Coturnix japonica: one gene and its partner. The protein of the gene in region 1 interacts with the protein of each later gene in a biochemical or structural test. Links are inferred from orthologs where the notes say so. Each region holds a gene or a part of one and is shown on either strand. Other genes may lie near its edges.

Evidence for each region. The genes of interacting proteins can lie anywhere in the genome.
Region 2: the proteins of UBE2N (region 1) and SH3RF1 form a complex in vitro, tested with the Homo sapiens proteins (2 studies listed by BioGRID). The link is inferred for Coturnix japonica from reciprocal best matches to the Homo sapiens genes UBE2N and SH3RF1.

Annotation. Positions count from the first base shown.
Region 1 is NC_029516.1:40,865,294-40,869,299, reverse strand, and holds the start of UBE2N (ubiquitin-conjugating enzyme E2 N), read left to right. Parts: upstream 1-1,206; 5' UTR 1,207-1,326; coding exon 1,327-1,356; intron 1,357-4,006. UniProt on the Homo sapiens protein: The UBE2V1-UBE2N and UBE2V2-UBE2N heterodimers catalyze the synthesis of non-canonical 'Lys-63'-linked polyubiquitin chains. This type of polyubiquitination does not lead to protein degradation by the proteasome.
Region 2 is NC_029519.1:22,337,541-22,341,040, reverse strand, and holds part of SH3RF1 (E3 ubiquitin-protein ligase SH3RF1), read right to left. Parts: intron 2,452-3,500; coding exon 2,117-2,451; intron 1-2,116. UniProt on the Homo sapiens protein: Has E3 ubiquitin-protein ligase activity. In the absence of an external substrate, it can catalyze self-ubiquitination. Stimulates ubiquitination of potassium channel KCNJ1, enhancing it's dynamin-dependent and clathrin-independent endocytosis.

The DNA.
Region 1 (4,006 bases):
TCATCGATTTCACAGAAAGTTACACCCATAATGTTAGGAGAACAATTTAGCGTTTAAAGGGCCAAACGTGTGTACAAGAATGCACAGGGCTGGTGTTTTTCATGAGTTGATATGAAAAGTTTGTAATTACTGGTGTATTCAACAGCTGAGGAGATCAAGTTGTGTAGAACAACTATGTACCTTTTAGTAGCCTTCTCAAAAGATAGAGAAGGAAAATTTGGTAAGTTTTTGGGAAGCAATGTGGGGAGGATGAAGATTTTGGCTTAGGGGAAGCTGAGGACAGGCCTCATGGCAGCTACAGCTCCCCATGGGGAGTGGAGGTGAAGTGCTGAGCTCTGCTCTATGGGGGGCAGTGACAGGCCCCAAGGGAACAGCATGGAACTGTATCAGGGGAGGGTCTGGCTGGGAGTTAGGACGTTCTTTCACTGTGTGGTGGGCACTGGCACAAGAACATTTGGACTATATTTGCAGACACAGGGTTTGAATTTTGGGTAGTCCTTTGTTGAGCCAGGAGCTGGAGTTGATTCTTGTGGGTCCCTTCTGACTCAGGCTATTCGGTTTCCTTGATTATAAGGAGGGAGACACGGCACTTCTGACATGCTTCATGTTATTGTAACCACCATGGGTTGATAAGAATGTTTCTATCTTAGGACACAAATCAAGCTTGCAGTATTTCTGACAGGAGCATGTTGGCAATTACACAGCCCAGATTTGCCAGTGTTAGAACTGTCCATTCTACCAGTGTGTGAAAACGGCGTAGCTGATCTAAATGTCCTGTTTGTGAACCAGGACTAAAGCAATTGACAGAGAATTGTTCGTGCAGGGTCTTGTTCCTGGGAAACTGCTTCATCTTTCTGTGCTTTCATTTCCCATCTGCTCAGCAACGGTGCTGGATGCTACTGTTGCTACGTAGCTGTAGTAGGGAGCCACAGGATGCTGCGGAGGTAACACCATCCATGTAAAACACCACAACATCCATGTAAAACACCTCATCTTTACAACATTTCCCTTCCTGTCAAGGAGGAAGAGACGTGACTAACGAGCCTTTAGTATCACAAAGGTGACATGTCCTGAGACATCTCTGTGACTGTTCGCTGACACACGTTGTACCACGCTGATGAAATCCGAGCTCTGTCAGCGCGGAGCTCCGGCCTCACAGCGGGACTCGGGGCAGGACTCGCCCCTTAATGGCAGCGGGCGCGGCCTACATTGCCCGACGTGCCGCGCCGAGGGCGGCGCCACCGGAAGAGCGGAGCGGGAGACTTCCGGCTGTGTGCGAGCCCCGAGCGGAGGCGAGCCCGCGATCTTGCACCCCGACGAGACAAGATGGCCGGGCTGCCCCGCAGGATCATCAAGGTAACCACGCGTGCCGCCCCGCGGGGCCGCGAGGCACCGACCCGCGGCTCGCTCTCGCGGCGGGCAGGGTCGGGCCTGGCGCCGCTTCCGGTGCGCGGGAGCTGTGGCCGCGCGGGGCAGGGCCGCTCCCAGGCCTCCCGCATCCTGCGGAGCCGCCGCCGGGCCCGGCCAACGCGGGGTTGAATGAGAGCGGGGCGCCGCGCCGGGCCCGCCCGTCCCCGCCGCTCCCTGCTCGGCCCGGCGGCGTGATCGGGTGGCGGGGGAGCCGCCGGGGCGTCCCGGTGTGCTGTGGGCGGCTGGCGACAGCGAGGCCGTGCCCGTCGCGGTGCCCGCCCGGGCGGCGTCCCGCGGCCCTTCGGGGCTCGGGCGGCTCCGGGCGCAGTGTAAGGCTGCTACGTGCGCTCCGAGCTGCCGGCTCTGATGTGCCTCGAGCTGTGTCTGCCAGGCTTCGCTTTTGGCTTCGGCCACTTCCAGCTACACCTCGGAGGGAACTGCAGGCTGGCTCAAACGCATGGAGTCACTCGGCACAGGCGCAGGGAGCTGCGTTGCAATGCAGTTCGTCTTGCTGATGATTTGGTCCTGTAGCCGATGTGAATGCTTCCTGGGTTGGCATCCTCGATCCTACTCGGTTTGCAGTATGTGGTTTGCAATCTCAAATCGGTGCTCACCGACTGCTCTTGTTGAAGTTACTAAACGATTCCAGTAAGATTCATTAGTTGGTTAGTGGTAGCACTTGTTTCATTTCCACCTGAATGAATGTCACAACTTGCAATAATGCTGCAAAGCTCTTCTTGGTTGAGCTTGCAAAGTTGGCAACCATTGTAAAACACAAGAACACAATGTGTTAACTAGCTGATGCAAAAAATAAAGATATATATATATAAGTCAGTATATCTATATCTACCTATCTATATAGCAGATGTTAGAGGAGATGGGATAAAAATTCAACAAGATTTTTTTTGTGTATGAAAACAGCTGAACTGTGACTGATGCTCAGAAATACAGGCAAAATAACGTGTCAATCTTACAGAAGTGAGTTTGGTCGCCCTGTTGCCTTGGTGCGCAGCATACAGTGGTGAATATATTTCAGGTCTGAGGAAATCTCGTGATATAGCAGAACTGGTGTTTATTGTAGAGATGTGGTGAGAGATGAGTTGTGAAGCTGATATGTCCGTGTTAGATTTTGCTGTAGGTTTTGATAGTTTTCTGGCCAAGCTAGTCCATACATTTCATTCTTAGCACCCTTGTTTCTTCTTTCTTAGCTTCTTAGGGAAAACCTAGAGCAATGCATGAAGCTCGTTTCCAAGATAGAGGATGGTATGAGAATGTTGCTCTTGTCCCTGGGGATAGACATCTGAATACCCCAAGCAGAGACCTAAATGGTCTAGATTTTCTCCAGCAGAGTCTTGCTTGGAATATTTCAGTGTTGTCTGTTGCAGGGTGGTGCATATTCTGGGCTGTCTATGTCCAGGTATGCACTGTAGGATGTCTGCAGACAGTTCAGGGCCTTTGAGTCTTGAAATGGGTGACCGTTTCTGTAGCTCCTGTGCTGTGCATACGTGAGGTCATCAGCGCTATGTATGGTCTAAGACTTGAACCTGACTAGTATTGCAGTCTTGAATGTGTAAGGTAATATTTGAAAGTATCACAGCTGCAGAGTTGAAGATCTAGGAACGAGCTTCATGAGTCTTGAATGAGGGCTGTTTTGATGCTTGCTACTGATCTTAATGTTGGAGTTAAATATCCTATTGCTGCTTGTCGTAGTTGGAGGGGAGTAAATGAACTCAGTGAGAATTTGAAAGATGAGGAAAGGAAATAGAAGAGAGAAAGATAGATGACAGAAAAGGGCTGTAGAAGGTTGAAATAATTCTAGTAACAAGTTGCAAATTTGATAACTAAATGCTTTGGGTTACTGCTAGGAGTAGTAGTAGGAGGGAAGGAGAAGACCTTTTCCCTTTGATCCGCGTGTGGCCTTTGTGTGGTCATCTGAGGGAAGCACAGCGATAGCTGTTGGGGTCTAGCAGTGTGTGTGCACCGTAGCAGAACCCAGCTAAGGGCTCAAAATGCAGTTGGCATTCCTCATCTTGATGGACTGCTGGCAGATGGCCTGGCTCTCAGGTTGACTAGCGGCCTGTGCTCTCCAGCCTGCTTCTCAGCTCTGTGCAGACTGTCATCCAGCCCAGCAGGAGAGCTCTGGCTTTCCTTGTCTCAGCAGAGAGCTCTATTTATATTTTCAGTACTTCTCCACGCTCATTTAAAAGGTGTCAGTATAGATATTGCAAAGCATTTTTTACAGGAGATAAAGGATTACTCCTGGCTCGCCGTCCTCAGATTACTTGGAAGGACAGGCTTTAAACAAGTGGGGTGAATGATCTGTAAGCTCAGGAGATGACTCGCTTTAGAAGTATGGCTTATGGTGTTAGCACATCACAGATGTTGAGTAGAAAATGTGATAGATGTGAATCCTTAAATCAGATGTATAATTGGAACTGGAGAAACACTGTGAACTATTTTGTTACTGCACATATTTAAGGAGTGAATCTTTGCAAAGTACCCAGTAAGCAAACCCAGAAATCTTCATTTTCAAATGTTTGTTAAACCAATTATTTCCTGTGTTGCAATGTCATGTTGCTCCAGTAGAGTAAGGAAT
Region 2 (3,500 bases), on another chromosome or scaffold:
GGTATGGAAGTATATATTTGCAAATCCATGCCACAAAAAACCTGTGTACTCTCAAATCTGTTAATCCATTTATTCTGTATGAATGCAAACAAGCTCTTTAGTGGTTTGAGTTTTACTTCAAATTTCTACAGAACACACATTAAATATACTGTAAGAGAACTTGGCAATTTTACTGAATGGAAAAACAGTGGGATTACAATGAAGAATGCGTTCCCATATTTTAAACGAAGGCAAGACTCTGGGGAAAACTCAGAATCAGAGAAATATTTTCAAGTGCTTTTCAGAGTTGATTCAGGCACTTTTGCTTCTTATTCATGCAGAACATAACTCCTAAATCCTCTTGTCAACTTTGAAAACAGAACTTGAACACTAATAATTATTCTCCAAAGTCAGAATAGAGTACTGTTGTGGTTTTTTCCCAGACAGGCTGTAGCTTCTGATTGGAATTGTGATATGTAAGAGCAGAACAGTATTAGCAGGAGATTTCTCTGCTCTCTAGCTCTTTTTGAGGTTTCTTTCATTAATATTTTCCACCCCTTCCCCAAAATTTTAACTGAAGATATGGTGAGTTTTCTACACATCCCTCCCGAGAACTAATAACACTGATTCATGTTCACAATTTTCTCTGAAAACAGAGTACAGCGTAAGCCACAAGTATACAGTTCTATTAAGCAACACAAGTAATGCAGCCTAGGGAAACAGAAAAAGAGACAAGAGCACATCAACAAGAAAAGTATTAAACCTGCCCTGAAAAGCACAAAGAGAATCCCTATGAAATTCTGTTTACAGACACTGACATAAAATATAGTAACTCTGTGTAAGTGGCAGAGAGAACGAATTTGTGGTAGTACTTCTCTGGTAGTGATTATCACTTCCCTAAATATGAAGAATACAGTTATATTAAAAGGATTTTCTCCATATATGTTATTATTAGATTAACAGAAGTACACAGCATTATTCTCAACAAGTAGTTCCAAGAAATGAGTCTCCATCATGGAAGACTGTGAAGATGCAGATAGCTTTATACAAATACTCAATTGCCATATCATAATTAATTTGATATTATTGTTGTATTCAAAGCATAAGAACATGCTACTGTGCCAAACTGAATCATGATTCTGAGAAAATAATTATTTTTCAAGAAAAATCTTTTCTTATTTTCCATCTACAAGTAATCTACTTCAGAAATTCAGTACACGATAGAAGTATCCTCAATGAAAACTGCATAGAAACAGTAATAAACTTTTAAATAATGTTAAAAGTATGACAGAAGTCAAATAAAAGAAAGTGATGTATATACTGTCTGGCTCTGAATACACAGATGTAGCTTAAGATCAGTGAGACTCGAAGTACACTGCTATGTCCACATATCATGAGTTAGTAGCACTAGAACAAACTACACATCAGCAGGATTCAGTTTAGAACAATTAAACTGCAACCCTACTGTTTTTTTCCCCCCTGTGTTTAGCTACCATGAAAAAAAAAAAAAAAAAAAAAATCCTTCAACAGTCTTCATCCTGCTTGTCTATTTTCAGGGGTAATAATAAGAAACAGTAGTTAGAAAACTGCCTCTTCCTTCTCAGTTCCTGCAACCTACCAAGGCCTTGAAATCTGAACATATTGTGTGGACACTAAAGGAAGGTGATTGAACTTTAAAGTAACTGCCTGGCTGCTTCAGGGACGAAACAACTGTGCGCTTTTTAGTCTCACTTGTCAAGATGTAGAGGTTATCCTAACAATTCCTATACGGAGTGCATAGTAACAAGGAAATCATGTAGGAAAAGCACCTCTGCAACAGTTTAAGAAGTTACACAGAGATAAATTACCTATTCAGCATCAATTTGGGTTGGTAGTTAAATACTGCTAATAATTCTGGAGGTCTAACTTGATAATCCTATGCACAAAACTGTAACGTTAATGTTTTGCAAAAGAGACCTACTTCAGTTTTCATTCCAAGGCTAGATCACTGTATTTTACTATCTATTTACACCAAAACTTTAAAGTAACTGAAAGCAAACAAATATAAACATTAGAGTGCTAGCAGTTCTTATAGAGAACAGCACAGAGTGCAATTTTTTATTGATTTTCCTAAGTTTTGGGGCTGAGGATAACTCACCTTTCACAGACAAGAGGCCTGGACTCATTCAAGACTGGACCCAGGGATGAGCAAGGCAGCCGTGGTGGTGGTGCTATTGGAACAGCAGAATCCAGGGAACTTGTTTTCCGCTGCAACATCTCCTGTGTCGGCCCAGAGATCTCGCAGTCAGTCGGACAGGTTCCAGCTCTGCTATGACCTCCTGCTGATGGAAGCTCTGGCCCAACTGCACCTTGCAGAACTAACTCTGTGGCTCCTTGCTCGACTTCCAGAGTTGGAGACGATGGAGGTGACAACCGTGGCTTGCGTTTAGTGGATGCTCCAGAAAGCAGTTTCAGCAAACCCTTTTTTTCTTTCTGTAAGCAAAGGGCAGTGCCTCATTTCAGAACAAAGGTTTTCTACAAAGAGCTAAGCACTTCCCTCTTACAGATGCCACCTTGTCCAGAGGAGACTTAGTAATGAAGAAATGCTTGATATTGTAGAAATCATTACAAGAGACAATTATGAAATTCATAAAAGAGAATTACTAAAACTCTGAAGAGAAGGACAGAAACTCATTCAGATCATAAACCAGCTAAGCGCTTTTGCTTAGTTAAGGTAAGTTAATGCTAACCTTAAAAGCCAATGTCAGTGGACCAAAAAATTGTCTACAAAAAGGAGGAAGTCATTAGAGACCCACAAAGGGGAATCCAGGAAGTAAAATAGCTAACTCTCTATTCCTTCCTGGAAACTTCCATGTTAGCTCAGACCAAGCAGAGAGAAAAGTCTGCCCTGGAGGCTGCTGCTTCAGTAAGTGTCTTTTATTCATTTTCCTTCAGTAAGGGAAGGCCTTCATGATTTAGCAAAAATTTGACACACGGGGAACGTACTGTGTTTTGCTGCTCTGCTAGAAGAATTCTAAACATTCTTTTCACTTGTCCAGACAGGAATCCCTGAAGTCTAGGACTCACCCTGAAGAGAATTATTTAAGCTGCTTTTGTGTTTCTTGTGTGTTGTTGTTTTTTTCTTTAAGGGGTGTGGCAGCTATCGTCTCACCAACTCTTTGACTAAATGAATTTAGTGCTTATGAGAAGTGCCAGATTTTAAGCCTCGAAGACAAAAATAAGCTATAAACTAACCACAGAAAGAGTAAAGCTAAGAAATGTGAGACTTTTATTACAGCTTAGGATGCAGTGAAATTGGTGAACTGTGAATGAAAAATCCTCTGTCTTTTTTCCAAGTCTCCAATAACTTCAAGCTATTTCAGCAAAGATCTGCTGTGTACGAAATGGAAAAGAAAAAGAGAAACTCAAAGGAATTGGCAAAGTCCAAATACATTAGCATCTCTCACCTTGAACTCTAAATCTATTCTTTAAAAGCCCTTCCTACAGGCACCTTGGTCTATTTTCAGAGGTTACAGCTGAAA